Linked DNA regions of Lepisosteus oculatus. The protein of the gene in region 3 purifies or fractionates together with the protein of the main gene of each other region. This does not show direct contact. Links are inferred from orthologs where the notes say so. Each region holds a gene or a part of one and is shown on either strand. Other genes may lie near its edges.

The links.
Region 1: the proteins of estrogen receptor beta (region 3) and srsf5a purify together in Homo sapiens (affinity purification with mass spectrometry; 3 studies listed by BioGRID and IntAct, with this or other methods). This does not show direct contact. The link is inferred for Lepisosteus oculatus from reciprocal best matches to the Homo sapiens genes ESR2 and SRSF5.
Region 2: the proteins of estrogen receptor beta (region 3) and srsf2b purify together in Homo sapiens (affinity purification with mass spectrometry; 3 studies listed by BioGRID and IntAct, with this or other methods). This does not show direct contact. The link is inferred for Lepisosteus oculatus from reciprocal best matches to the Homo sapiens genes ESR2 and SRSF2.
Region 4: the proteins of estrogen receptor beta (region 3) and psmd1 purify together in Homo sapiens (affinity purification with mass spectrometry; 3 studies listed by BioGRID and IntAct, with this or other methods). This does not show direct contact. The link is inferred for Lepisosteus oculatus from reciprocal best matches to the Homo sapiens genes ESR2 and PSMD1.

Annotation. Positions count from the first base shown.
Region 1 is NC_090703.1:23,110,935-23,118,322, reverse strand, and holds the start of srsf5a (serine and arginine rich splicing factor 5a), read right to left. Parts: upstream 3,027-7,388; 5' UTR 2,921-3,026; intron 1,755-2,920; 5' UTR 1,747-1,754; coding exon 1,621-1,746; intron 1,509-1,620; coding exon 1,438-1,508; intron 1,093-1,437; coding exon 976-1,092; intron 285-975; coding exon 215-284; intron 1-214. UniProt on the Homo sapiens protein: Plays a role in constitutive splicing and can modulate the selection of alternative splice sites.
Region 2 is NC_090704.1:35,480,544-35,488,722, reverse strand, and holds the start of srsf2b (serine/arginine-rich splicing factor 2b), read right to left. Parts: upstream 3,099-8,179; 5' UTR 2,876-3,098; coding exon 2,520-2,875; intron 2,109-2,519; coding exon 1,817-2,108; 3' UTR 1,810-1,816; intron 583-1,809; 3' UTR 1-582. Other genes in the region: UNC93-like protein MFSD11, read left to right, coding at 7,465-7,560.
Region 3 is NC_090703.1:7,981,050-7,988,427, forward strand, and holds the start of estrogen receptor beta, read right to left. Parts: upstream 3,114-7,378; 5' UTR 2,806-3,113; intron 1-2,805. Other genes in the region: coiled-coil domain-containing protein 170-like, read right to left, coding at 6,819-7,103.
Region 4 is NC_090708.1:8,526,752-8,534,093, reverse strand, and holds the start of psmd1 (26S proteasome non-ATPase regulatory subunit 1), read right to left. Parts: upstream 3,192-7,342; 5' UTR 3,036-3,191; coding exon 3,020-3,035; intron 2,029-3,019; coding exon 1,985-2,028; intron 1,530-1,984; coding exon 1,456-1,529; intron 1,060-1,455; coding exon 890-1,059; intron 479-889; coding exon 273-478; intron 1-272. Other genes in the region: uncharacterized protein C2orf72 homolog, read right to left, coding at 6,495-6,595.

The DNA.
Region 1 (7,388 bases), about 15 Mb from region 3:
TTTGAGATTCCAGAGTGGAAGTCATAAATCTGCATTTAAAATCACCTTTAAAATAGAGGGGAAAAAAGTGTGATGTTTTTAAAACAAATAGCAAAGGATTTTAATTTAAAACACCACTTTATAAAATAATAAAGCTGCTTCATATAACAGAACAAACACTGAAGTAATATGCAATTTCCACAAATTTAAAGTGAATCCTGTTGAGCCTCCTCACCTGCCAACTTATCCGAGAAGAGAGGTTTTCAACAATGATTCTGTGTTCTGTGCGCACTGGGGGGCCATACCTGAAAAAGCAATCAAGACGGCTTTAAAACTGCCTTTTGAAAACAAAGCAATCCATTCCTACAGCTGATGCAGAAAACAAAAGGACTTAATGGTCCCTATACCAACACTGCTACAGAGAAGGGGTGTTAGCCCAGTGTCCTGGCCAAATTTCCTCCTGGCCTTCTAACAACCCCCATCTATGAATTGGCTTTATTACTGCTTTCCTCCCACTGATAACTGATGTGTGGTGACCCTACTGGCACACTTTGCCATTGCATCATCTAGGTGGGGCTACACATTGGTGGTGGAGGGGAATCCCCATTACCTTTGAGTGGAGTGTCTAAAAAGGCACTACATGTGCATTACAGATCCCCAGTCTCACACTTCTGAGGTCCCCTTTTCATATTACATGCTAGTGTACCTAAAGATCATTCTAAAAACTGAAAGTCATTTTAAAATCCAACCAAATCTGATTTTCTTTTACAATATTACTTGCAACTTCTAAACCTCTACATACCCAAAACATTTCAGAACATATAAATCACAATCTATTCTCATTTTATGACTGGGGGGGGGGCTCTTTGCAAAACATTTTAGGATCCCCAAATCACAACATATTTTGGGGTTCGAGGTGAGGTTCCAACAGAACGTGCTGTCTGGCTCTGAACAAGTCTAGAAACGGCGAGCTGTTGGCAGAAGACGGCTGCTTACCGTGAGCCACTGCTGCGAGACTGGCGATAGCTGCCAAAGCGGGGAGAGAACCTGCCACCTCCTCCAGCGCCTCCACCCCCCCGCCCTCTGCGAGAGCGCGCATGCTCGATGGTGACCCTAAACACATCGTAAGGCACATAAGGCTTGGGTCAACGAGAATTTCAACCCAACTTAAATACAGTACCATAGGAACAGATTTCATGCCAATCGAGGTTTTATTTTGCCAGACACCTAACCAAGTTGTACAGTCTTCGCATTCTTGGGACAGTGATCATGCCTTAAAGCAATATGTTAAAAATCACTTTTACATTAAGGTGATCAAAAGTATACATTGGTAGTGAAATCAAAGTGTAAAATCAATTCAAGCTGATCAATCCCAACATTCAACTTTCAACAAAAAAATTCCAGTTCAGCAACTGTAAACAGCTGTAACTTCTAAGGCATACAGATTTAAAAATATACCTTTCACTGCAGAGTTCCTTGCCATTTAATTCATAGACTGCATCATCACCATCTCTGTGATCTTCAAACTCCTGCAGAATTAGGAAACAGACAAAAATTGATGCTCTAAACGTTCTTATAAGACACAAGCAATGTGAGCACCCGATTCGATAAAATATGATACAAACACACTAATAAACTTACCACAAACCCAAAGCCATTCTTCAGGCTGATTTCCCGAATCCTCCCGTAGCCTTTGAAAAACTTCTCCACATCCCTCTCCCTGGCGTGGGGACTCAAGCGCCCGATGAAGACACGACAACCGCTCATGTTTACAGCTGCACAAAGAAACGAAGTCTTAGCCTCCCACAATATAAATATCAACTTTCCAATCATAACCTCCATTTCCACAAAAATGTAAACCGGAAAACTAGCTATTTTAAACGTTCTCTCGATTACATTAAGAGAATAAACTAATTAGACACTTCAGCAGTCTAGAAACACGTTTAACCAACGCTTTAAAAAAAATAAAAATAAATTAAAACACGTAAAAAGTCTATTTGTAGCAGACTATGTATGTGTAGTTATACCTACGGGGGATTAAGCAAGGTTCCAGATGAGTTGAATTTTTAAGAGTTAAAAATTGTTGAGGCTACAATACAATCATGAAATGCAAAGCTTCCAAAACGCCACATTAAAATCTAAAACGGAAATAAGATGGAGCAGCGGAAGCAATCCTTCAACATGGATACGTAAACCCGCGAACGCCACGGGCCAGGCAGCACGTCCACGCCGTTTTTAGACCAAGCCTCGACGCGCTAGTCAGCTGACAGGAGCTGCAGCTCACACTAGGCCTTCTTTGGATCCCCAGGGGTGGCTGACGTAGCACAGGCCTACGCAAATCGACCAGCCCCTCCAAAGAAAACGCGAGGCCTGCAAAGCGACGTCGCCCATCACGACCACTGCAGGGCCTACGACACGCCATCTTCGCATCCAAACGTATATATGCTCAAAGGCAGCCATTACGGAACTTAACATAACGTAAATTCAACCAAACAATAAGAAAAAGAAAAATGTACAGTTTTTATTTTTTCCCCATCCCTGAGCCACTTTACCTAGCCTTTAACATGTAAATAACAATAAAAAACTACGTTTCGGATTTTAACTAATCGCTCAGTTACCAGGGTTAAAGTTAAATATTCCCAAAGCTTAGAGATCTTTGTTCATGAAAATGTGGTTCTTCTATTACAGGAACAGAAAGCAAGGTAAAAATATCGAGATCACCGATCGACAAATGCGGCGCTGCAAACAGCGCCCCTCATGTTGTGTAAGCAAGAGAAAATTGGCGAAAATGCCGATTAAACACGTATTTTTTACACATACACTGAATACTACTGGCGAGCAATCAATTTCTGTATTATTGCACAATATAAAAAGAAGCTACGTATACTACATTTTAAACAACATTTAAACAATGACCTTCGCCGACTACCCACACACCTACCTACTGCTCCTTCAGATTCTCCGCTGGAAAATGGCGACTGCGAGTCCGCGAGCAGTACAGCGGAAATGGGCGTCAACGGACGAGGCGTATCCAAATTAGCTAGTGGGTGGAGTATGGAATACAAACATCCAATCAACAGTTTTTAAGATGGTTGCGTCAGTGATCATATAAACACGTCACGAGCTAAGAGTTCTGAGACACCACCCTTTTTTCCTCTCTCGCGAAGTAAACACGAGAATGGGTGTAGTTGCTATAGCGAAAACCAAAACCGAATTCACTGTAATAGTGCGGACTGTCTATACTATGTTTTTATGTATGCGAAACTGTATTAATGTTTATCATACATAGTTGCAAGGAAGTGTTTGGGGAAAAAAGACTTGTATTTGTTGTCTAGAATAAATATCATGGGAGTCATTTTAGAGTACAACAGCGTACTAGAAAAAACTGCTCGGTTGTTTCAATGTAAAGGTGGTGATGCTCACAACGGGCCTACCACTCCTACCGTTACAGCCTTATGGTATTGTCGCTATTATGGGATTATGGTAATCATTTTAATAATTACCAATAACGAGTCATGATGTGAAAAAAAATGTAGTTAATTCAGTTATATTAAAACAAATGTATATGTACATCTATCCATTTTCTAACCTCTTTATCCAATGCCTGGTTGTGGGGGAGGCAGTGCCTAACCTGGTAAGCAATGGGCACAGAGCAAGATAAACCAGTTCATTGCAGAGTGCACTCGGACACAAACACATCAGGGGCAGTTGTCCCAGTAGCCAATTGACCTACATGTAGGTCTTTGGTCAATGGGAGGAAACCCACCCAAACACAGGATAGCATACAAACTACAGAGTTAGCACCCCAGGTCTGGGACTGAAACCAGGACTTTAACACTGAGAAGCAGCAATACTAGCCACTGTGTCACCGTGCTGCCTGAAATAGGTACAGTTAAATACATTTTTAATGACCTCCTTGCGCATTGTCATTATTGTAAGAAGGGAAACAGAAAACTAGAGGGAGATGTAATTGGGTGTCATTATATGGAATTTGTCTCCGAATGCTGAATGTTCTCAAGATTTGTACACTGAAGGACATTGTGGGACCTGCAGTGATACAGATGTATTCTGCCTTTTGCCATCAGAGCAGCTATTTGCTGCAAGCCCACTTCAGTTAACGTTCTCTGTGGTTATTGCTGACACAGGACAAGAGAGAGGGATAACATATAAGGCTAATACTGTAGGGCACAACCACTGTGCCCCAGACACAACCTTAGCACATGAAATATATACAGTATATATGAAATTCACTGGCCTGTAAGAAGAGCCTTAATTCATTCATTGCTCTAGTGACCATTCTTTATGACATTCAACATTTCAAGGGACAGTCAAGGCACATTGCCATCAGTCACACATGAATATGATTTGTAATTAATTTAGGTATTGGCCAACATTAGCTTATGTTTGTAGACACACATTCTTTTGCTGAAATCACTACTGTATGTGGGACAATTATATTTTAAAGCATCACTGGCATATCTTGTTACAATCCTCCTGAAAAAGGAAAAGGATTCTGCAATTGTGACAAGGCACAGTGACTAGTAACCACTTAAGAGTTATTTCATGCCTTCTTATTTGTTTCACTAATACGTGATGAATTGTAAGATGTGTATGCTGTGTAATTGAATCTGGGTACTTTATCTCATCAAAGAGAAATATGTTTAGTTAGGATTTAGAAAGTTGCAAAATAAGTGTGAAGGAATCCAGTGAAACTGAAATGATTATCTAGCATCTATGTTTTTGTTTTGCAGAAGTTTGTTGGAATTGTATCTTACAACACATCAGGATTACTATTGGAAATCAATTCCTTCTGTGGAAACTAAAGATTATTTCTATAAGGGCCTGGCCTTAATGGCATAGTGTTCCTCAAGGACAAGCTTATTTCATTTTTCACTTCAAGGTTCAGGCAGCTCAGTTGAGTGGACTATACCAATCCTACAAAGTGGAAGGGAGTTCAACTACACGGCCCAAGGTCAGAGGCAAGTCCTGTAACTACAAGATAGCAACATCCCCCCCAGAGTCAGTGGGACAATCCATTTTACAATCCAGAAAAAGCTGAAAGGAACACAAGAATTGAGGCATTATTCAGAGAATCAAAGTTTCAGTGGAATCGACAGTGCTTTCTATACTGTAGTTTAGCTGTTAACACACTTTTTATTATATTCTCCTGGCTCATTGATGATTCCAAACAATATACTAGCTGATGAGAAAACATAACAACAATGAGAAATTTTGCAATCAATTCCTATGTGACAAATTGAGTGTAGACCAAAGCAGAAGTCTACGATGTTACCAAAGCTGTTTTCTAAATCCTATTTTAATAAATTAACAAGAAAAGACTTACATAACCTATTTGTCTCAAACATACTTTCAAATTGAAATTCATTCAGGGTTAATTTGAAGTGAAGCAAATAAATAAATAGCAGGACAGTTTCATCAAAGACTTAAAAAACATGGAATTGAAAACATTTAATGCAATTTCCTTCTTTGACTCTGTTTTAATCATTTCAGATTGGCAAAACCTACCTGGCCAATGTACTATACAATTAAAACAAGCACAGTGGTCTTACAGATATTCTTGTTTGCACAAGATATGAAAGAGGAGATTGGAATACAACTGAAATAAGAAATACACAAGATAAAACTAACAAGGTCACATTAGAGATCTGTGTTTTTTAATTAAAAATATGTTTGCTTATTGTATGTTCATTAAAGGGATGATAGATATGCATTCTCCTGATTTTTTGGTTTGTCTATGAACATTTCACAAGAGCAGAATATATTTTAAGAAATTAATATCTTTGCTGTGTGATACACATTCAGACTGCAGACAGCTGCTAATATATTTCAATGTCATTAAAAAGTCACCCCTAGCAAATGTAAAAGTAATGTAAATTGCATTTAAATGTACTTCAAGTAAGACATTTTATATACACATACTGTAGATATGGGAAAATAAGCACTTTGTGAAAGACCAGACAATTACATTTAACAATAGGTCATCTAATAACCTGACACAGTTAATGACTGGACCGAGTAAATGAACAACATGCACAGGTGAAAGATAGGTATCACTTTTTATTATTTAGTTCAGAACAAAGGCATGTCAGAGAAATGTCCTTGGACAACAAGGTGTCTATGCAGACAATAAAAATCCTATATGATCACTCTGGGGCAAAACTAATTCCATGTTTTCAATAGAATAAAGTGTCAGTAAGAAAAGTTTGTTCAAAATTGCACATGCTGTGTCATACTGAAAAAACTATGGGCTACTGCAGTACCTGATCAAAAGCAGTAGGATGTCACACATATTCTATCAGACAGCTCCCATATAATGGGTTATACTTATATTTGAGTTATTGCTGACAACTGTACTTTATCACACTTATCAAATCACATTTCAGAACTGCCATGTGTTGTGCAGATCAGAGGTTTTCTGGGTTGACTAGTTTAATGTTATATTTAATGCTTTGTCCCAAAGGTGTAATAATTGTCTTTAAAATGTTGGCAAAATGTAATAAAGATCACATTGGCGACTGGTAGGTAGACCTTTCACAAAATTAGATAAAAAGGCAGACAACTGCTGTCCAATTTTGAAATGATCAGCTATAAGCACAAGCCTTATGTAGCTGGATAGAGCACACAACAGAGCTCCACCAGGAGATGGGCATAATCAGCTCATCTGGCATTTGTGTTGTGGTCCTGAACCACACACAACACAACAAAACAGCTCTGACTGAACATGAGTCTAAACATTTCATGTGGCTATTGTGTTGTGGTCCTGAAACAGAGAGATCAGTGTTATATACTTGCCATTCAGCCAGTCGTGTAGTGCGTAGTGCTGACTACAGAGGTGAGGCCGATATACTCACTGAACAGCATAGTTGTGGACACAAACCAGCAACCTCTCAACTGCAGGATTCTTCCAGTATAGGACCTGCTACTACACCAGACCATTCCAGAAAACAGGCGAGTATGCATTCACAGAAATGAAGGGCTTCCACTGCAAAGCACTTTACAGGAACAGCTGTTCTCTTATTCACTTCAGTGCAGGAGGAGGAAGATAATAATTAAGAAGGATAGCCTCATACTATAACCACTATTTTTAAAAATATTGTAAGACATTACCAGTACGTACTTGCAAAGATAAGAAAGGATTGCACTAATGTTGCTAAATAAATTATTTTCTACCCAGTCTATGAAAGTCAGAAAGCTTTGTTATGTGTCCTGTATTTCTGTGCTAGACTGCACTACTGGGTCAACCTACAAACAATAAAGCTTATTGTTTTTGCCATTTTATTAAAAAGGAAGCTCCTTTTTAATAAAATGGCAAAAACACCTTTGGAAGTCATTCCTCATAGCAGCTGTTACAGACAGGCAGCCAGCTACAGTTGTCATCCTAAGCAAAG
Region 2 (8,179 bases), on a different chromosome or scaffold from region 3:
TTAGAATCACAATAAGAAAAACTGTCATTTACAAAGATGCAATTCATTAAATCAGTGCCGGATTCATTTAAACTGAGCTACTCAATATTGGTAAATCCTAATTTGAGAAAAATCAGCTCTCTCCTGGCTCTTTCTGGAGAAAAATGTGTGCTAATAAGAGCACCTAAATGTTAGAAATATCCAAATTTATTCTGCAAAGCCAAAATTGGAAAATAGCATTTTTAGACTACCATATGCTCCCTGGGCCACGTGTTTATACTCAAAACTATATACAAAAAGCCTCAGCACTGCATCACATTAAAACAGAAAAACAAATTACCTCACTTACAAGCCCATAAAGTATCTGACGTTCTTCCTATTCAGTGAATTACAAGAAATTGGAAAACATGGCACAAAATAAAAATCAGCCTCGTTATTCTAGGCAACTCAAAGCAAAAGAAACTCCTTTAAAACCTTGGAAACTAATTTACAATAATAACCTTTTAGCCAGCAAATTTCTCTTGGGGAAAGGGGGGTCCTCAGCCTGAGACCTTTACTTTCGATGGGGTGTCCTCAGTGGGATCGGTCATTCACGTGAACAATCTAGAAAGAAAGAGAAAGGGGTGAGCAAGCAGCAAAGGCAAGAGAAGCGTTATGGCTGACTACCTTTACTTCAGAGGCACTATCTAATACTGTACATTAAACTTAAAAATCACTATACATTCAAAGACTAACTCAGTTTAACTGCAGAAGTCATCATTTAGTTTGCCGTTACCTTCAAGTTTGCAAGTGAGGTGGTAGACACTCCTCAGCCATGCCAATGTCTAAGTTACTGATAAATGTAGGGCTTAGACAAGAAAATTCAGTGCTTGTGTAGAACCAGCACCATAACCAGCCTATAGATGTAGGAAAGGCAACCAAAGAATTCATAGGTTTGTATTTTTACTGTAAAGGGATTTTATACATTAAGTCCAATGTTTAGAAAAAGTCTTGGGGAAAGTGCAAATTTTACTTAAACAATAGTTTGACCTTTATGTCCCTGACATGAACAAATAGGCGCACAAACCTTTTCACTCTCCTGCTTTAGTGTGTGAGCCCACAGTCATGACCGCATGACCTGGAGGACAATGCAAGGCTCCTCTCCATTGTCCTGCAGACGTACCTCAACACCACCTCATTACTGACTGTGACCGACCTGCTCCAAAGCATACCCCAACAGCAGGAGGCGGCCCCTGGGCGGATCACACAACCTCTAACTGCACAAACTGCCCCAAACTCCACTTTTGCAAACAGGAAACAGCAGCTTGGAGGAGAAAATTCCACATTTTTGGTGAATATATTTTACTTCCGTACCAGTCTTAACTGCAAAATATTTACTTCATGTACAAATACAAGTTGCCGAAACTGAACAATTTTCAAAAATTACATCAAAGTGATGCAAGTTGTATATTCATTATACAAACTACGGCAAGTTCAGAAATGTACAGGTCAAGTAGCTTTCTCCAATCTATTGCACCTTCAGTTAACATCACAAAGCAAGAAAATTCAAAACCTTTTGGGTTTCTTCCAGAAAGTTTCTTCTCAGTCTTGCCTTTTAGGCAGAAGTGTCACATAACCGATACAAAAGGCTGGAGAAAGACTACTATTATAGAACAGCTTTTTAAATCATGCTTGAAGCAAACCATAAGGATGCCATACTCCCAACACCCTCCCTCAACAGCTACCCCCTTACCATTAACAGTACAATCGTGTTAAATACATGCTGCCCTACTGCTGCTGCTCACTCACATGCCCCAATGCCAACGAATGTACTCATTCAGCTGCACTTACCATAACTTCACGAGGAAACCGCTCCTTCCTCCTCTGGGGACTTGGGCACACTCTTCGACCTCGATCTGGACTTGGAGTCTCTGTTGGAGGGCGGCGTGCGACTTCTGGACCGGGAACGGGACTTGGACCTGGAGCGGGATCTGGACACGGACTTGGACTTGCTCCTCCGTGGAGAGCGGGATTTGGAGCGGGATCGGGACCGGGAATAGGAGCGGGAGCGGGATCTGCTATAGCGGGATCGGCTGCGAGATCGGGAACGGCTTCTGCTTCGGGACCGGCTGCGTCTACGGCGGCGAGGACTGCAAAAAGAAAAGACCGCAAACCCTTATCTTGGCCCCTCCTATAAATATCGCTTCTTTTTGAACGGAAGGAATATCGCCATCTAGGCGATACATAACTTGACTACCTGCTCCCCTGCGACTCAGTGTAAGCCCCTTACCTAATCAGGAAAGATTACTTTCCGTAAGCACTACCAATAACTGGAGATCTTCACATAAGTGGAGAATCTTTAAGATCCCTCCACAAAATGTAACCTGAATGCAGATTATGTCGAACTTCACCCCACGTTTTCTATAAAAGCAGAGTGTGCGCGCGTTACTACACTTTGCAGTTCTTTGTTCTGCATCCAGGAGTCTCCCCCACAATGCGGTTTATCTAGCCCCGGAGCCAGCGCCGTTTAACCCGCTGAAGCTCCACCGCCCAGCCCTCACCTCCTGCTCCGCCGGCCGTAGCCACTGTACCTCCGAGGCGGGCCGCCACGCCGGCCGTAGTGCGACTCCGGTGGCCGGCCATACCGGGCCATCTGCACCCGCAGCTCCCGCCCGTCCAGCACCGCGCCGTCCATGGCGTCCATGGCGTCTTCGGCGTCCCGCTTGTCGTGGAAACGGACGAAGGCGAAGCCGCGGCTCTCCTTGGTGTACCGGTCCCGGGGAATGTAGACGTCTCCGACCCGGCCGTACTTCTCGAAGACCCGCCGAAGAGTCTCCGGCGACGTCCGGTAGGTCAGGTTATCCACTTTGAGGGAAGTCATGCCCTCGACATCGGGCGGCGGCCTACCGTAACTCATTTTGTCTCAAGAGGAAAAAAACAAAAACACACCGTCTAGAAACTCAAACCCGCTCAGACACCCTACTTACTTGTACTTTCACTGTCGTTATTTTCAAGCTGATAATCTACCCAATAATAACCATAGTAACACTTAGTACAAAAAACCACGCTACGCGCACCAACAAAGCACCACAAGCCCTGCTTTCGCTCTCCACACCAAATGGCGGATTGAGCGCCCAAAAGCTGCTATTTATAGACACTCTTTTAAAACTATTATTATTTTATTCTAAATTAATCAGTATCCACACATTACGGTATAAACATCGCTTTTGAGTCTGTAAAAATATTTCTAAAATAAAAATCTTGTTATTTTCAGTTTGTTTTTGGTGATATTTTGCCTAGCAAACCGGATGTGACACCGGAAGTTAATTATATGAACGGTCATTAGTAGGGAAGTTTGAAAAATCGATTGAAACTCCACGTAGAGTGTTAAAAAGTACATAGTATTTATCTCTTAGTATGAAATGTGAGGTACAATTTTGCCTTCCTGTTCTTTCAGTCATTAGTCATGTTGTCCAGAGCTTTTCCAAGATTAGGAACCATTATCGATTAACAATGCCAACAACTACCGAAACATGACACCGTGCAAAGTTATAACTCAGTAACAATATAAGTTATATTACTGTATATGAAACGATGAATTATAGTTTAATGCATCTGCCAATGTCCATTAAAACGAAACAGTCAATATTTTTGCAGCTGTGTTTCCTCTCAGATTTTAAACCACACTACAAGGAGAGAGAAAGTTAGTAAAATGCAAAAAAATCTAGATACGGGTGGAAAATAAACCGTGTTTTAGGGCATTATTGGAGCACTACGTTGTAGGTTAAAATTGGTTTCTACTCTACAGAATGGTTACTGAATGTACACAGTTCTTTTATAGTTCAATGACAGATTAAAGAAGAGATCTGGCAAGGGTGGTTCTAGTACTGTATGTATTTAAATCAAGCAAAAATAACCTGATGATGTAACCAGGAACTTAAAAATACGATATTGGCCCTAAGTTTCTTTTTACCGCCCAGAGGACCAAGTTCACGTACACTTGTCATCGTTGTTATTACTATTAATTTTAGAAGCAGTAGTAGCATAGCAGTAGTACAATTCTAGTGGTACCGCATTTGCAGTTCAGTAACAGTAGGACTATAGAGTTGTTGTTCACAGTAATCGTAGCAGCAGAAGTATAGTAGTCTATCGTTTCATTTATCGATATCGTTTTATATTATAAACAGTAAACGTAAATACTCGACTTCTAAAAAAACATAACGTTTTAAAAGGAATAAGTTCACAGGATCTTAATATAGACTATACAGTATATGTGAGTTTTGGGATCTTGGCATGCCGTTGTATGTCATTCAAAGCACACCATGCAGAAAATACATAGTAAATTAACTCGAAAGTTACACGAGGCACGTGCAGTGTCAATAACCGAAACATTAATTGAATATAAATAAATCAAGCATAATATGAAGCCAACTATTTCATGTGAGAACCTAATTAAACTAGCTGATGCGGTTTTGAATGTTACTGTTTATATGATCTAATGTAATAAGTTACTTAGCCGATAGAGACTGGACATTTACACCTGTTCCTGCGTCTCCACAAAGTATCCCCTCGCCGAACTCTCGTTACCCTCACAAAAACGTAGGCTTTAAAAAAAATAATTTCATTGTGATTACAAATACAGTAATTGTAAATATATGATATACTAAAATACCGAGCATTGTACAGTGAAGGTAAAAGGACGAGCAATATTTAAAAGATTGTAGACTAACCTCTTCAACTGGAGAGCATATGACAAACTATGAAACTGGTGTGGAAACTAAATCTGTGCCCTTCTGTCTATTTATGTACTACGCGTACTTTGTGTGCTTTCCAAAACCTATTACAACACTGTCTCCGGGGTCAGAGATACCAAAGACTGGAGCAAAGCGTAAGATTCTAGTGTAAAAATTGAGACTCCTTACTGGTTTCCTGAATGTGAGAAAATGTGTGTGTCCCGTTTGATTCTGTTCTTTCTTTTTTGATAGAATGGAGCACACACCAGTTTAAGCGATTATTGGTTATTCTCCTCTTTAAAAATGTTAACACATTAAATAATTTAAAGAATAAGAAAACTGTAAAAATGTTTTAATTGCATGTGATATTCAATCAGTTTCTGTAGTTAAGGGCTGATGTATTATTTTGAACTCTGAATCACACAACCTGACAGCACAATTTTATATAGGCGTATTACTCTACTTGATATTTAGTTGGGTTATTTTATCTCATAAACATTCATGTAGATTCATGTACACGTTTCATTTCCATGATTAAATACAGACATTCAATTCCTACAGATACAGACTAGCATATGTGTCCAATGTCCGGCTCTGGCTAGCGAAAAAGCAGTGACAGTCTTCCTGACAATAAGGGACAGACACTCTATCCTTGATTGCTACTAAGACAACACATAATACATTAACAACTCCAGAGCACCATTTTCAGTTTCACTCCAGCCTATGACAGACTTGGAGTTTGCATCACCCTAACTCAGGACTAAAAATGATAAGTGATAGTGATAGTGAGCACTTAAGATAGGCACTTAATTAGCATTTTTTATAACTGAAAAATGTCCAAATACATTGAAGAATTTGTCATTTATAATCAACTTTCAATGTGTGTCAGTACTCCATGCAGATCTCTGTAGACCAGCAAATCGCAATGTCCTTCTTGGATCCATGGCGGTGATGCAGCATCCAACTCAGATGATGCCCAGTCAGGGTGCCATCTGGACATATGGGGAGGAGAATAGGATAGTTTGAAAATAGGTTTTCAATCTGGATTTAAATCCTTTGATTCACCTGGCATCCCGTACGTAGGCAGGCAGACTATTCCATAAACTAGGGTCCTTGTAGCTAAAGGCTTTACTGCCAGCTGTTTTTTTATTAATATGTGGAATAAAAAGAAGACCTGCATTCTGCGATCTAAGTGGGCAACTTGGATTGTATACATTAATCAGCTCCACTAAATAGACAGGTGCCTGACCTCTGAGAGCCTTATAAGTAAGTAAAATAAATTGGAAGTCTGTCCTGTACCTGACAGGAAGCCAATGGAGAGAGCTAAGTATAGTTGTTATGTGGCCATACTTTTTACTACTAGTAACAATTCTAGCTGCTGAGTTTTGAATTCGCTGTAAGGTATGGAAAGTTCGATAGGTGATCCCTGATAGTAGGGCATTACACTAATCTAATCTGCTGTATACAAAAACATGTATTAGTTTCTCTGTGTCTTGGAAATACCTTAGTTTTGCAATCTTTCTTACCTATAGGAAGCACACCTTCGATACTGCATTAACATGAGAGTTAAATGAGAGCCTTACGTGCCGAATCTTTGAGGCAAAGTTTTAAACCCTCAGAGTTGAGTGCTGAGGTTATAGCAGTCTTATCCAAACAACAGCAGTAGCCCACAAACAACAGAAACTCAGTTTTATCAGAGCTGAGTGACAAAAAGTTTTCACACATCCAAGACTTCACTTAATGCAATTAGCTAAAGTGACAATTGACAAGTTGTCATTAGGTGTAAATTAAAAATGTATATTTTAGTGTAGCATAGGAATGAAAGGTAATATTATGCTTTCGTATTATCCTACCTAGTGGCAACGTACAGAGAGAACAATACTGGTCAGAGCACTGATCCCTGTGGTACCCCAAATTTGACTGGTGACAGTGATAAAGCAGTAAAAATATTAGATGTTTTAACATAGTGAAAGGTTAGTTAAATAGGAGGTAAACCACTTAAGGACATAGGCCAACCCTCAGACTCAAGCCCGTGTAGCAAAATACAATGGTCAACTGTGTCAAAGGCAGCACTAAAATCTAGGAGCACTGTTGGATTCCCTGCGTCAGTTGCTAAAAGAATATCATTTAAATCTCTTGTTAATGCAGTTTCAGTTCTGTGGCCTGGGCGGAAACCAGAATTTCTCTGGTTGTTTCTTTATAACTCGATTGCGGCCGCAGCTCAGCGGGAGGTAAATTAAAAAAACTACACATCCCAGAAGCCTCTTTGCTGCGGTCTCGCAGATCAGCTGAGCTCCTCACATGACAACTCATCAGTCTCGGTCTTGCACACACAGTAAATTGCAGTACTTTATTACCGGCGGATTATAGTTTCCATGCCCGACGGAAAACCGTAGCTACGGATAGATCATCTGACTCTTCGTCTGGGCTGAGACGATTTCAGAATGGTTACCAGCAGTACGAAAAGCTGAACTGCGGACATCCACGCCCGTCCCGTAACGCCGCATAGATATTATCCGGAGGTATGCTTTCGCAACCGTATTATTAATTCATATCTCAGGAGGTAGAGGTGATTTCAAGCAAACGCACGATGAGTATAATATGCCCCTATTGCGGTGAAACTAGTGATTTCCTGGTACAGCTGTGTGGTTGTTTCAGGGTGTACATACCTGTGAACGACACGAACTCTGAGGCACATAACTACTGATTGCTGTCTTTCACCCTGTAGGATTTGCCGAGGTCCCTTCGCTGGGTACAAGGACAAGATCGCGAGATGGGTCCGGATAAAAAGATGCTTCTTAATATCGTCATCTTGGGGTTCGGGTTTATGTTTATGTTTACCGCCTTTCAAACCTGCGGCAATGTGGAGGTAAGTTAGTTGATCCACGTCCTTGTCACTCACGGGTAAAGGATCTCAAGATCGCTATTGTAGAATCAGCAACACCTTTTCTTCAACGTTTTTTTAGTCTTTGGCAGCGAGACGCTATCCCAGCCACCACTATGTTTAGTAATTCATTCACTAAACCAAATATATAACTATTTCCAAACTAAACGCCGAACTTCAGATCAAAAACCCAGAAACAGACCTGACGTCGGAGATGTTTTACTGAGGGGCAATGTTGATTTTTACACGCCGCTATATTTTTGTGTCCACTCATGTCAGCCTGAGGGAGCTCCTCGGTTCAGAACAGCTGATGTTTCAAACTTTACAGTCTAGTTGCTTAAAATAAAGTCTTACTGTCACAAGGAGAAAAGAAACTCCTACACTCACAGAGCCTTTAGTCTAGTTAGGCTTTCCATCAGATTGCCATTGAGTACAGATAATAATCCAACTCCTAAAATCCAATATAACCAGTAAGGAAGGTGTCTTACCTGAACTAGGTGTTTAGTGTATCCTCCTTTGTTTTTAAGAGATTCTGGACAAGTAGGAAAGATGTGCTGTTAGATACTTGATGTGAATTCAAATACTTTTCAGTAGTGATGATTCC
Region 3 (7,378 bases):
TGATTTCAGTTCCAAATCCGATTTGACCTTTAATTTCAGAAAGCAGACTCCTGTAATTCTCATTAACCTGTGACTAAGAATATGGACTGGAGCAAAAACCAGAAGACAAAGTGTTCATCCAGAACCAGGGTGGGGAACCACAGTTCTAATTTATGTGAGATGCTCAGGAGGAGGTGTAGAGTATTCAGATTATGAGACTTGTGTGTTTTCAGTCCCTCTCCCAGAAACCTGTTTCAGCCTCTAACACTCCAATGCCTATATCGGATCTGATGAAAAGAGAAATGGTAACGATAATAAATCATTCTCATAAGCCCCAACAGTTGATCTGCTGACCAGTGTCATTTTTATGATTCTGATAGAGTACGTCTACTAAATAACCCACGTATTGGTGTAAGTTGTTGGAACTTCGTTTTGGTTTCATTACCTGTAGCTGTGGATTATGAAGACACAATGCAGTTCTTGTGAATGATGTCCTTGATCAATTAGACACAAAAAAATACTCACACAGACGAAACATTCAAAAAAAGAACAGAAACAATACATAAAGTGTATACCCCTGGGTCATATTTTCCCCAAAACCATTGTTTCCCCGTCTTCATAAACTGAAATAATAATGAAAAAGTGAAACTTTGCCTGTAGATAGTTATCTTCACAAAACATGGGTGAGAGGAAAAGACAAGGACCTTCCAATTTAAACAAATTCGGGCATCCCGGGAGCCTGCAAGTGATATTACAGTACATATCACCCATCTGCACCACGCTTTCACAGGAAACTGCTCAGGACACGCAGAGGTACGCCGTATGAAAACCAAACGTCTCCAAAACCGCATTAATTTGTTCTTAATATTTCAAAAACTGCAAACTCCATGTCCAGAACCATTTCCACACCTTTTGTAATTCACTGAATCCATGAGCTTCTAAAAGGTAGTGCGCTGCAAAGCAGGAAAGCTGTAATAAACCAATAATTTCGGACAAGTCCAGTGTCGAGTGTCGAGTGTTTTGTGCTTTTGAAGAAAAAAAACACTCGGAAATGAAAGCTGTTTTCCCTACCAAATCAATTTGTTACAAGTTACAGAATTAAACGGTTCCATTTTTTTACGAAGACCTTTTTTTACTCTACGCCTTATTTTACTCTACTCAAACAGCAAGACATTCTAGGAAATGAAACCAAGGTTTAAGCAGCACTGGAAACTCACTGCTCTTTGTGAGCGAAACATTGAAGACTGTTTCACAGCGCCCGCTAAAATGAGCACACTTCACGGCGAGAATTATTTCTTTCGGAACCGGAAAAGTTAAACTTTGTTGTGGCAAATAACTAAAATGTAAAAATAAATATTCGCCGACATACTAAATGTTCAGGAACCAGGCACTGTTACATACCACTGACTCAAGGGGAGGCACTGGGAATGCAGAGGCATTCAGAAATAACAGGTTGTCCAGATGAATTATCATAAAACCTGTATTCCAACCGATAAAGGTGTAGGACTCACTGATCCGTGGTATTGTACACATTACTGTGCAGCTGGCTGTTACACCTCGCAGTAAACATGTATCTTTGATTTAAAGCAACTGAGCATAAAACGTGTATGGCCCAGATCTAAAAAAATAATAATCTGCAACTTTTAAACTGCTGCTTTAAGAAAGAGAAAAAAGAGCTAAACGTAACATAGAGTTAGCATTACGAATTGGTTAATTAAAAAGAGAGGGTAACAATGCTGTCAAAGCAGTGCCGTAACACTCTAAATAGAAACACGATAAGTGTTTCTTTAAAAAAGCAGAGAAAGCGACCACAACGACTAAAACAGTGTACTAATAAACTCCTGTACGAAATAAGCGGTTCAGTTGTAAAAACAGTTAGGGGGAATGACAGAAATGGGCGATTTCCTGTTTCTTTTGACTACCCGGAGTGTAGAGTTTTTACATAAATTAAAAAGAAATCTGCTCTCAACCCTTTCGTGCGGTCTCCGGGTTGAACATCTTGCCATGTTCTAACAGCCCAGTCAGAAACAGCAACAACTTTACAGTTCAGCCTCAGAAGAGACTGGGCTGAAAACGGATAGCCCTTGGTGGTGAACTGCTACTTAGTCGCGTGTGCAACGTCATTACCAATCGATAACGGAAAAACCTCGTACAGTTACAAGAACATTAAAGTTTTTACTACTTCGCTACTGCAGGAGGAATCGGCAAGGAGGTTTCGTTAATATAAATAACGGTTTGTTCTGCCACACTGATCGTGAACGTCATTTATAAAGCTGTTTTATTTCCTACTTACAGGGCAACACATGTTTCATTTTCTTAAATCGCAAGGAATATCACATAAGATACACATAATATAAGATAAGATATGAACAAAAATGAGAACGCACACGAGTCAGTAACCCACTGCACTGGTTACAGGATTTGTTTGCTCCAACTAAGCATATCCAAAGCTAAAAGAAACGAGAAAAGTTCAATTTTGTGATATTGTGAATCGTAGCAGGAAAACCACCCTACAGTATTTCTTCATGTGAATCGCAGTCGGCAGCCCTAAAAGATACAGTATATGGTTGAATTGCGCATAGGTGTAAACCATTTATATTTCTCTCATTTATATTACGGCTTTTCTTTTTTTTTTTTAAAGTACAATTGAAATGCAATTCAACGAGAACTTCCCTTGCCATGTTTGCCGGTGTTAAAAATGCTGGTACCGACTGAACTCTGTCTGAAATACTAAGTAAACACAACCGTAGTACGAGTCCATTGAAAACTGACAAACGGCGATTAATCAATCTCTGTGCGTGACGGAGATGCAGCCAGCGAACATACCTGCCTTCTCGCACACCTGAAGGAACGGCCACTGTACTGTGGTATATTCCCTTCAGCAGGAGGATGAAACAGTACACAACTACTGTATCTTCTTGAGCAACAGCAGGTCCCGCTCTCCCGTGTCCAGCTGTACAGCGTAGTAAAACAAAAAGTATATCAGCCGCTAACTGGCACTACTACCTAGGACCGGTAAGACGGGAGAGCGCTGAGAGGATTCTCACGGCGTGTCTCACTCAGAGCTGCGCGGCTCAGGCTGCGCGCAGTCTCCCTCTCTCTCCGAGATGCTCAAACAGCCCTTTTTGCTTGTAACTCTGCTGCTTTCTGTAATACTTCATTCACTTAAGAGACGGCCGCTGCCGTCACGGTCTCCCACACCCTCCAAAACCCGCCCTCTACATCCCTTGAACTTGCGACCTTTTTTGCAACGAGGAATGGGACGCATATTCCGCTTTGCTCTTAATAGAAAGCTGTTTGTGTTCAGTCTGAGGTCTAAACCACGCGACAGCGCAAAGGGGGCTCAAAGAATATGTAGCAAAAAGAATATGTTCAGAGTTGGCACTAATAAATAGACAGCCACATTATGTAAATAACCATATACAGTAGATGACTTATAGTTTTAAATAGAAATGTCCCAATTCTCTACAGAGTTCCTATAGAACTGGACCGATATCTATAAAAGCCTTTCTTTTATTTTTGAAAGAGATACAATGTTAATGGAGTGACTGATCTGCCTTGTGCAGATGGCCAAGTTCTCATCACTTGTTTGGAGAAAAGTAGCAATGCTCTTCGCAATAGTAACTCCCTCCTGACACTCCAGACAGTCGAAGGAGATGCCTTCATGTGACCAGCTAGAAGATATTCTTCCTCAACATTAAAAAAAACAACTTTTCCAGCGATCCTCAGACCAGCCAAAGCAGTGAACACCAGCGACTTTTCACATACTGTACTGTAACTGAACTGTTTGGAGGGTCTGTTATATTCCCTTGTGCTCACGGTCCTTGTGGATACAAATATAAAAATACCCTAGTACAAGAATGTCTTCAATTATTATGTTTTATCCACAATTCCAAGCTCTATGAGAATGCACTATGCATTTCAGATTGTTACAAGTATAGAAAAAAACAGTAGAAGGAAAATACTGTCTCTCCAGGATATCCATCTGTTTTCTGACATCGTCTTCCAATTCAGAGTCTAAGGGGAGCCAGGGCCTATTTAAGCAAGCAACGGGTGCAAGGCAGGGTACACCCTGGATGGGACGCCAGTCCCTCTCAGGGCACACAGAGACACACACCCATTAATCTACAGGCATGTCCTTGGACTGTGGGAGGAAACCCACATGAACACAGGCAGAAAATACAATCTCCAGCCAGGGCCCATGCAAACCACTGTGCCACCAGTCGCCCAACCCGTGAGTCTTTAGAATAAATATGTTGCATTGCTTAGAAAAAAGGAAAGCTAGCTCGTTCACAGAGAGACAGTGGATTTTAAATCACAACAAGATTATTAAATTACTTTAGGAATGATAGTGTCTGTCTGATATAGGGTACAGTTATTTTTGGTCAAAGCCATTTGTTGGTACAGTTGTCTTCCAAAAGATGGCAGCACTCTGTTCTCTCTCTCTCTCTGAAACATTAAATAAAAACCTGCTCCCCAGAAAGGCTAGAAGGTAAATTCTTCTTTCCCGGAAAACAGGAAAGAAGTAAATGTTTCATTAATTCTATTTTTTTTTTGGTTTTGCTTTGTTATTTTCTGATCAGCAATTTTTGGAGTAATCTCGGGTTCAGGAAGAAGCTTTGGCTCTTGAGCTTCTCTCCAAGGGCAGAATTAGATTTCCTGGGGGATAAGTGGTCTCCTGGGTGTTTAGTTCAGAGAGAGGCTGCTTTTAGTGGCTGATACCTGCATATGAAATGAATGTCTTTTTTGGCTCTTAAAGTTGAACATGTGGAAGTGGTAGGGACTTAGAAAATATATAAGATTTAGGTTAGGCTCTGCACATGATGCTCGTTATAAATGCCTAGCAGTTCCCACAAAGTAGAAAATGAAAAACAAAACATTAATATAAGACAACAGTCTGAAGTTTGTCTGAAAATATTAATGATTTTCAGGGATCAATTCCTAGTGGGTTATTCAATGTATTAATGCTGGGTTAATCTAATATACTGTAGGTTTTAATAAGTTTAAAAATGGAATTTGCCACCCCTGGTTTAAAGAGTTCTCCTTTACCTTATATTTTAGCCATTCAAAACAAATAGAAAGAGAAACGAATCTGGGAGAAATACTCCCAGAAATACAGAAAAACACCCGGTAAGAACTATATAACAACTGGCTTTAATGAAATATGTTGCCAGAATTCAAGGAGAACACCACATGAAGATGAATGAAATGATCCAGGTAATTTGACTGAAGCTCTTAGAATACATAGACTTGTTGGAAACATCTGGAACTCCGAAAAGAAGGAATCCAGTGGATCCTGGGACTCGGAACCCGTTTGCTAACCTGAAACTGTTTGGGTGGTTTGGGAGCCATGCCCAGGAGAACTGTGAGCTCTGAGAGGAGGATTCCCTCTTCACTCTTTGCTTTATTCTTCTGGTGTTTTACTGATGGACTTGGCTCTTTATCGGCTGTATATTTACAGCCCATGTAGCCCGATGAAGTGTGAAAGAACTGCATTGTTTCGTCTCAGGCCCCCTCTGTTAGAGGTCTGGCAAGACAATATTCTTGATAAATGTCCTACATTTCTATTAGCCAAGTTTAGGGGGATCTTAGCAGGGAACCCAATATTCCCTGTTTATTTGTAAGGTATATTTTAACAGCCGGACAACAAAAATGACAGACACATACAGTATAAACACATGGAATGTAATACTGTAAGCATAAATGTGGTGTGACCCATGAAGGGATGCCAATCTTTCCAGAATTGCTGTGAGTAACATCAGACACAGGTTAGTCAATTTTTAGGGATTATTTTGTGTTTTGTCTCCATCACAGTACTTAATGCTGGAAGAATGAAACTAAGTATTTCAATATCAGTCATTTCGTTGGACAGATGGGGTCCCACTTTGAAAATATTATGACATCTCCATTTTTTTTTATTTTATTCAGAAATTGAACAAGTATTTCAACCTGGGTTAACTGGAATTGTATTTTTGTGAACCTAGCTGTGCAGTACAATGGCAAAAGAAAGTAACAGTCTGTTCTTAGTTCCACATTCACTTCTGTTCCCATTCAGTTTAATTCAGACAAGAAATAATTTATCTTTCAGGTAAGTAATTTGTTCCATAAATTACGCATTTTGCCTTAATCATTGAAGATACAGAACCAAAAAGCAAATTGAATTCCATTTGCTATCTGCAATGCGGTGTGTCTTTCATTACATCATGTGCAGGTTGAAACGGAGGATTCTGCCCTAATCATTTCTGAATTACAGGCTTCTGCCACACTGTATCTACAATTTCAATAATCGCAGCCTGTGGAGGAGAATGTGAAGAGTATCTGGACATTTGTAAAGGCAGGCATCTATCTCAGAAGTAATTCACCACTTTCACCATTTTCCTTTATAAACAACAATGGTTTGCAATATTGCAGCAGGAGTTTTGTGATCAAAGGAGGAAGAGATTTATCATTACCAGCAATATGCTTATAGATATGACTGGGACTATTAGTATACTGATCTTAAATGTAAATCATTTTTTTAAAGATACAGTAGACACCTTCACTCAGATCTATTCGCTTTAAATGTTGCATTCGTTGTCACTCTTTATTTAAGGGTGAAAATACACACCAGCTAAAATTAGACATACTTCTTAGTGACCTGCAGTTGCATTAGAATCACACTGAAGCTAAATGGATGGGTAATAAAAATGTTAGTCTCTGTGCATCTGTAATGCATTTGTTGGACAAGTGTTTGATGCCAGCCATTCTTCTGTAGTCTGTCCATCTGAGTGATTGAAATGAGGGCTGAACTGTACTTTTGCACATCCAGAACGAGGGAGGTGTCGTTCTGTGCTTTGTATTCACCACTCGCTCGCTGGAAGCGCAGCTTTGGCAGAGATGACGTGCTGGACTGTGGCGCTGGGGTTGGGGGCCAGGCCCGGTGCCTTCGGCTGAGCCCTGCCAGGTGTGGGGTCGCTCGGGGCTGTCCCTCCTGGAGGCCTGTCTCTCCTCACCTGGCCCCCGTCGCCCCCTTGTGAGTCTCGCAGACGCCTCTCCAGCTGAGCCAGAATGTCGCTCTCCTGCGCGACCATGGTGTTGACATTCAGACCCAGCAGCTTCAAGATGCATTCTTTAAAATCCACCAGCTGTGGGTTTTTTTAGAAAAGACAGTGTCTAGGTTTCAGTCATTAACTACCCTGGTTCAGTTTTAGGCAGCATTGAAATGCTAAAATATGAACACAAGAGTGCAATTTCCATGATTTTATTTACTTCAATACTTTTAGAATATAGAACCTCTGCCAAATCATATACTGTATACTGTAGTGTGAAGGTTTAGCCTTTTTAGTCAATCATCATGGTGTCTGCAATTCATACACTGAATAAACCAAACCGTCCATTCCTGAACTTCATTTTATGTAAA
Region 4 (7,342 bases), on a different chromosome or scaffold from region 3:
TTCCCATCCCATGCACATCTTTACTAGAAAATGTTGGGAGAAGTGCAGGGAATACACATATCAATACCACTGGAAATGCAACAATTAAAATATTAGAACTTATTAATATAGTTTACCATAGAACTCCAATGCAACAAAACAATAAGAAATTACAGATTGTACTCCATAAACGATCACTAGGAAACAAAGCTGTAATAACGTTGTGTGTCCTACGTTAGAGAGACTAAAAAGTGTAGGATGCTACAGTTCAGCCAAGCGCAGTCAATGCTTACAGACTCCAGGATGGTCTTCTCGAAGATGTCCAGCCGACGAGTCTCAAGGGCAATGCCAATTGCCTGTTTGTACTTATGGTCACCCAGGCAGCGCAGAAACATTTTGTTAACAATGCCCTCCAGTCGGGGGTCAATGCTTTTCCTCTCATCATCCGGCAGCTCTGCATTCTCCACACGCTGCTTTGTGTAGTAGTCAATACATTTTGCTGCATGAAAGAAGAAGCAATGGATTGAACTGCCACTTCCCAGCACTTCAGCTATGACCGCCAAATGCAGTTATACACTTGTAATGTATAAGCGTTAAGTGGAGGGATTCCTTTGTACAAGTGTTTCTTTTTTGTCTTAATATTTTATCTTGTTTCTGGAAATATTCAAAGTGGCCCACTTTGACATAACAGTTACAGGGCAGGAAACAATTTAACAATTCAAAACAACTGTCCTGGTGTTACAACTAATTAGAATTAATTCTGAAATTCCACCACCTTTTCAAAAGAGACAGAGGTAAATCAAATATGCAGAAAGAAAGAGTAATAATAGGACACTTCAACATTTTCTAAACATTTACAGTCTGGTTCATCACACACTTCGATCACTATCATTAACACTTCTGAACTCACCGATGATAGTCTCCACATACTCAGAATCGTCATTGACATTGAACAGGTCTCCAGCTCCCAGAGCGTAATTCAGAGACTCTTCAAACGCACCCAGATGGTAGAAAACTTTGGACGCTACCAGTGCTGCAAACTCCCTGCTACGGAACGTCTCATCTTCATAGAGAACCTCACTTAAAGAGTAACATAAAATGATCAGACCAAGAAATGTCTATTTTAATTATTACTGTAGCTGTAACAAACAACATATCTAGTGATAAGTACCCTAGTTTACACCCAAGGCACAATTAACTAATCAGACATCAACGGGATAGAAACAGTTAGCTCAGAGGAAGGTTTAATTATGTAACAAGGAAACCAGCTCCAAGCTTGTATAATGTAATATTCACGGCAAATAATTTCAGATGTATTTTTATATAAAACCTATTGATAATTGGAAAGGCTAAGCGTGCAGAATGATTTATGTATTTAACCATTCTTGATATGGCAAGGAAATGACATTTAGAGAAGAGACAAGTTAATCTGTGAATAACAAAGGTAGATGAGACCAAAAAAAAAAAGATTCTTACATTTTACCAACAGATTCTGAAATCTCAGCCCAGAAATCATTGACAATGGAATTCAGCTTGTGCAGAGCAAACTCCTGTATCAGAAATATTCAGGAAAACAACATAGGATACTTTCATGACATGCACAACACACTGCAGATTTCACAGAACTGCCTTTGGCAGGTTTATCGTCTCATACGATTATTATAGTCAGGAAGAGAACAGTTTAACTGTGCTATACAATATAAATAAGAGTCCTGAGGAATTAAATAAAATTCATAGTAAATTAAAAATTACAGTACAATTATATTAGAAGTTGGCATCATTAAAGTTCAATGCAGTCCCAGGGTTAATATATGTGATCGATTCCCATAGGTACTAGAAATGAAGTTCAGTACTCCTGCTTATACACAACTATTATGCACAAAGTGTAAAGATCAACAAGAACAGTGTGTTTCTGTGATTCTCAGATCAATGGACCTCTGTTTTTTTACAGTATATGCACAAGCTTATTTCTGCAAATAAGGTGTACTTAAGGCAAACAGTTCACCTTGAGCTGAGGCTCCTCTTCATCCAAAAGAGAGATTATTCCAGCTAAAAAAGGAAAGGAAATGTGTCTGAGTTGACAAATACAGCTACCAAAATGTTTAACACTAAACTGTAGAGACGTGGATCTGAACACATGAATGACCTTTAAGTATACCACGTTAGTAAACAATCAATCTTCTGCTCCAGTAAAGGCATGTAAGAAGGTCATCGACAGATTAGTTACCAATGATAGCACTGCAATACTACTGGAAAAGGTGGTCCAGCCTCATTATGTCTAGACGAAAAAATGCAATATTTACAACAAATAATTGTATTTATAAGAACAAGACAAACGAATGTATGAAAACAAGTCTGTACACAATCTTACAAATGTTACGCAAGAGACAACTGCTCTACATATTTTTAGCTCCTTTGACCGATTGTCTAGAAATGCCATCCTATGATCGTACGAATGAAGTTGGATGGTAGACTACATCTACCACAGTTAGAATATACTCTGGTTGCACATCTGTACACAAGGTACATAGGAACCACAGAATCAGCGGGACGCGCTGAATTTCCTGTAAACAAACACAACTACAAGGCTACTAAAATAACTCGTCAGCTGCCATGTGGAAAGTGACCAACATTGTAATGGGAAACACAGTTATGTGTGTTGAAACAGGTTTGTTTACAACACGCGCAAATACACAAAGACTAGAAAAAAAAACATTTTAGTAGTGAACTCGGATGGTCGTATTGGTACTTTTCCGACACACGGCGGACAATCGTGGTACGTTTGTTTTTCTTGTTATTCACTTGTTCCGTGTTATAACGAGATCAGCAACAACTGATTGTTTGTAAAATGTCCCATTAAGGGTTAGGGGGTCCAATAAAAATATTTTACATTGTTGTACTACGTTTCATAATGAGATACTGTACAACTTAAAAGGCAAAACACACTTATTTGCATCGCTCAGTCTTTTGACTCTGTGACTCAGCTAAATCTACCGGGTCGCAATCAACTGCTTAAGTCACATCTGCATCCTCTCCTTACCCGCTGAAGTTATCATGTTTGCTGAAAATCCCTTATTACTCCTCCGGTCTCGACTCTTCAAACAATAAAATGTCTTCGAAGAAAAAAAGAAACACTTTCAGTCAGCAATTACTCGCCTCCCGCTACCTACTGTGCGACACTTTTCCTGCTAATTTTTGATTCACAAAGAAAGTCCTTTGACAACCGGGGGCCTTCCAATATGTTAAGACTGCCCAAAACTGTGCCTGATTATTATTAGATATACCTCATTTAAAATAATGAGTTTGATACAAAATTAATATATTATTCTAACAATAGTCACATAAAATGCAAGAATAAGCATTTTAAGATCACATTTAACACTTTAAGAGACGACATTTTATATTTTTTAAAACGGGCATATTCTTTTCACTTCCGAATACTGCTGACCAATAGCTTAACGACTTTTTTTTACTAGCGGTGATGAATTCTTAACATCGCCCCCTACACAAAGGAGGGTATCTGTTCCAAAAGTAAGGTATAAAGCTGTTCTTGGTTATTGTTTATCCTGCATGTAAACAAAAATACATCAAGTAGAATACGCTACATAAAAACAGCTCTAGAATTTAACGTTTGACATATTAGTAGTAAGTAGTCCGGTGTTTACACGCACTATTTACAATATTCAGCTCTTAAATTCTCTTTCAGTTATGAAATCTTTTCTCAAAGAGAAGTACATTTCACCGGAATTTGACAAACATACCCAGTTCAATTTGTAGCCAAAAAAAACTAATTTAGAATCTCCAGTTCCTCCTTTAGAATAAAGTAAATGTTTGGTAAAATGACACGTATATCTGTTTCACTATACCCGTTGCATATCTTTTTTATATCAGTACTAAATTAGCATTTGACAATGTACCTTGGAATGCTTCATTGTTTAACACTTTCCCCTTTAGAAAATGGAGATAAAATAGCAGAGTCATACAATAATGACTCATTTTCAACTGCCTGAAAAGTATGACTAGCTTAACATTAACAGACCCTATAAGGCACCTAATTTCTCGCTGTTCAAATGGATTTTATCGTCCTTATAAGACATATTTCTGAAGATTAACTGATGAATTCAAACACTTCAAATATTAAGAAATACATTGGGAAATTTCTGTCAGTGAAACATTTTCATTGTAGAAAGTTGAATAAAGCACAAAATGTAAAGGGAGCTTCTAGTACTAATGACATGGAAATTAACTGATACCTTAAAGCTGCTAAGGCTAAAGAAAGCCAAAGTTATGTCTTAAGCCATTAAACCTGTTGTAAATTGTTATAGGTTGTATGTTTAGAAGTGCTAAGCAATGAACAGTGAAGTGACATGGGTATAGCACTCAGGATAACTGATTTCCAGCATTAAAAGCATAGCAGGAGCAAAGCTGGTGAACTTTTAATTTATCACAAGTTTGAAAAGGAACAAACAAGACACCTTTAAAATGTGAATTTCATTTAATTACACCATTAGCAGCATTTTATAAATTATTTAAAACAAATTGATCAAATATTAAAACAATTTTATTAAAACAACACAAAATAATAAATCTTGAGACTATGCAAGTAAAAATAAAAAACTGCAAAATAGCTATATAATCTTTTATTAGTTGAATCCATTACTTCTATACTTCCCCACATAGATTGACAAAAAGCAAAATAAAAAGGAAATGTTCACAATAATTTGGAGCTAATAAAAAAGATTGTCTGTTTTTATAGCACTGATTATTATTTTAGAATGCAATGCTAGCATAAACTTCACTGGTGTTACATATTACTGGGTTAGCATTATATCGTACTGTAAGATTACTAAAGATTAAAAAATACAAATGACAATATACAATGTTCTTCAAGTATAGAAGCATCAGTAATTAAAACCTAATCAAATATATAGTACTTTTACTGTGTTTATATTTGTAAAATAAGATTTAGTTATCTTAAACTTCATCATTTTTTTGTCTATATATTTTTAAAGATACATAAATATTTACAATAGGTAAGAACAAAATAAAGGTTACAAAGGTTCATTAGGTTCAAAGGCCATTAGGTTCCATATATATCAAAATGAAAATGTATCTAAAAAGCCCTGAGTATTATCTAAGAGTACATAAAATTACTTTAGGTGCTAAATACATTAATCCTAATGGATTCACGCTCTTGATAAACCATAACTAAAACTTCATTTAACAAGGAAAAGTGCAGGTCTACCAATATTTCAATATTTAAAAATTAAAATGATAATGTATGAAAGGGAGAACTGAATATGTCATTTCCATAACTGTGCAAAAACAATTACATCCATTTTCTAAATACATGATGTTCAAATTCATTAATATACTGTAAAAATTGAAAATTTATTTTCAGTATTTTACTTATCTGACAGCAATTTGCAATTTGCACCAGCGATCATTGTAAACTAACTTTGAGATGAATCAGTCTTTCAGCTGATATCAGAGAAATTAAATTAAACTCAACATCTTTCCTACAGGTATCTCAGTTTCAATTAATTGACCTTGTTAGAGAAATTGAGATACAGTACCAATGTGTTAAGAAAGCTGCAGAACAAATCCCTAGAAACTAGTCCTTGACGGTTTCACAGGTTTATCGCTTTCCTACTAAGGACTAACATCTGTTTGAATCCAAATCTTCTTTGCATTTTAAGATTTCAATATTTAAGTTGTACAGTACTTTATTTACTGCTTAAAACAACAGTAAGTAAAATACTGTATCGTGTAATATAGACTAAGACAGCAGTGTGGAGCAGTGGTCAGGGTTCTGGAGTAATTGGAAAGTTGTGGCTTCAGATCCCAGGAGAGACGTACTTCACCTAAATTGCTCCAGTAAAAATACATTTCCAGCTGGGAAAGTTGCTTTGGGTATAAGTGTCAACCAAATAAATTAAAAATTCAACATTTTGTAAATATGGACAATGTTGACAGGGACACAGATGAACCACAGAAATGAAAGCTCATTTCTAAAGGGGCTCCTGCCCTTTGTGATTGCCAGAGATTTCCCAATCCTTCATTAATATTTCTACATAACACACTGGCATGTGTGATTACTCCAGGAGATGTGGAGAAACTCAACAAGTCTCCTCTTCATGAAGACGGATGTGATGATGCATTTGTAACAGACCAGGGAGCTGCAGACAATATATCTGCTGAGGACTCTCCTGATCTTACACACACTTGAAGGACAGCATTAACCTTGTATTTGTCCTTTATATCCAGCCTGATTCATTTGAGTTGGTCTTTTTCTTCAACTTCTCCTGATAAGAAGAAATATAAACAATCAACCGCTCACTAAGGTCTTATAAGACTGTCATGCCAAGAAATCAGTTTCCAGTTACAATTTTCTGAGAACTGCAGCTATTTTGTCTGTAAACTGGCAGTGAATGCCTTGTAAACGTTAGTATCTTAAGCTGAGGTCAACACTTTTACCCCAAGTCACAAAAGATTGCTCATTGGCTCAGTTTTCTTCAGGCCTGGCTCTCAAGACTGTTCACCATGGAATCAATCTGTCGGAGGTCAGAGATGGAACTTGTCAGTGGGATTCCTTCTTCCGTATCCCTTAGTTTACCTAAAGGAAAATCCAGAAAGACAAATAATTCAGGAATGTCCATTCTTCTTGAGCAAACTGCAAATGCCTGGATATGAAGAAAAAAAACAAGGAATGATCTAAATCACAGACCTCGACTCTAGCTCGCCTCTGCATTTTAAAAGAAGTACAGTACATTGGCATTGTGAACTTTTCTGTGGCCCTAAAACACTACAAATGTAGCGTGGTTGGTATACAATTTAGAGAAATATAAAAGAAAACACAAGCTGCACTCTGCAGTCTATGGCTAGAATTTAAAAGGCACTTGTGAGTAAATGTTGTAAGAGTAGACTAAGGAAGAACACTCCTCTAAGCAAGATAATGCCAAATTCCTTTCATTCTTATTCGATTTTTACACGGCACCCTGTTTTTAAATTTTGACACATGTATCAACTGAAATATAATGAATATCAAGTACAATTTCCTTCTTTTACGTCCCCGACAACGAAAAAAGCTCGTATCGCTTTATTCTTGAAACATTATTAATAATGAATTGTCTTAAATCAAGTGTTATTCATTTCTTTTTGGAAGCAATATACAATATTTGTTATATGTGTATTTTGTATGCAGTAAATCACATTTAATACAGTACAAAGCTAGAGTCGAGTGCAAATTAAACCTGAGTGGTTAGCGGAGATTTGTATAAAACTTTCACGTTCTCCGGAAGAGTAAACCACATTGGCACAGTTCATGTTCCAAGAAAAAAAAAAGATTTTCCCTTTAAGATTC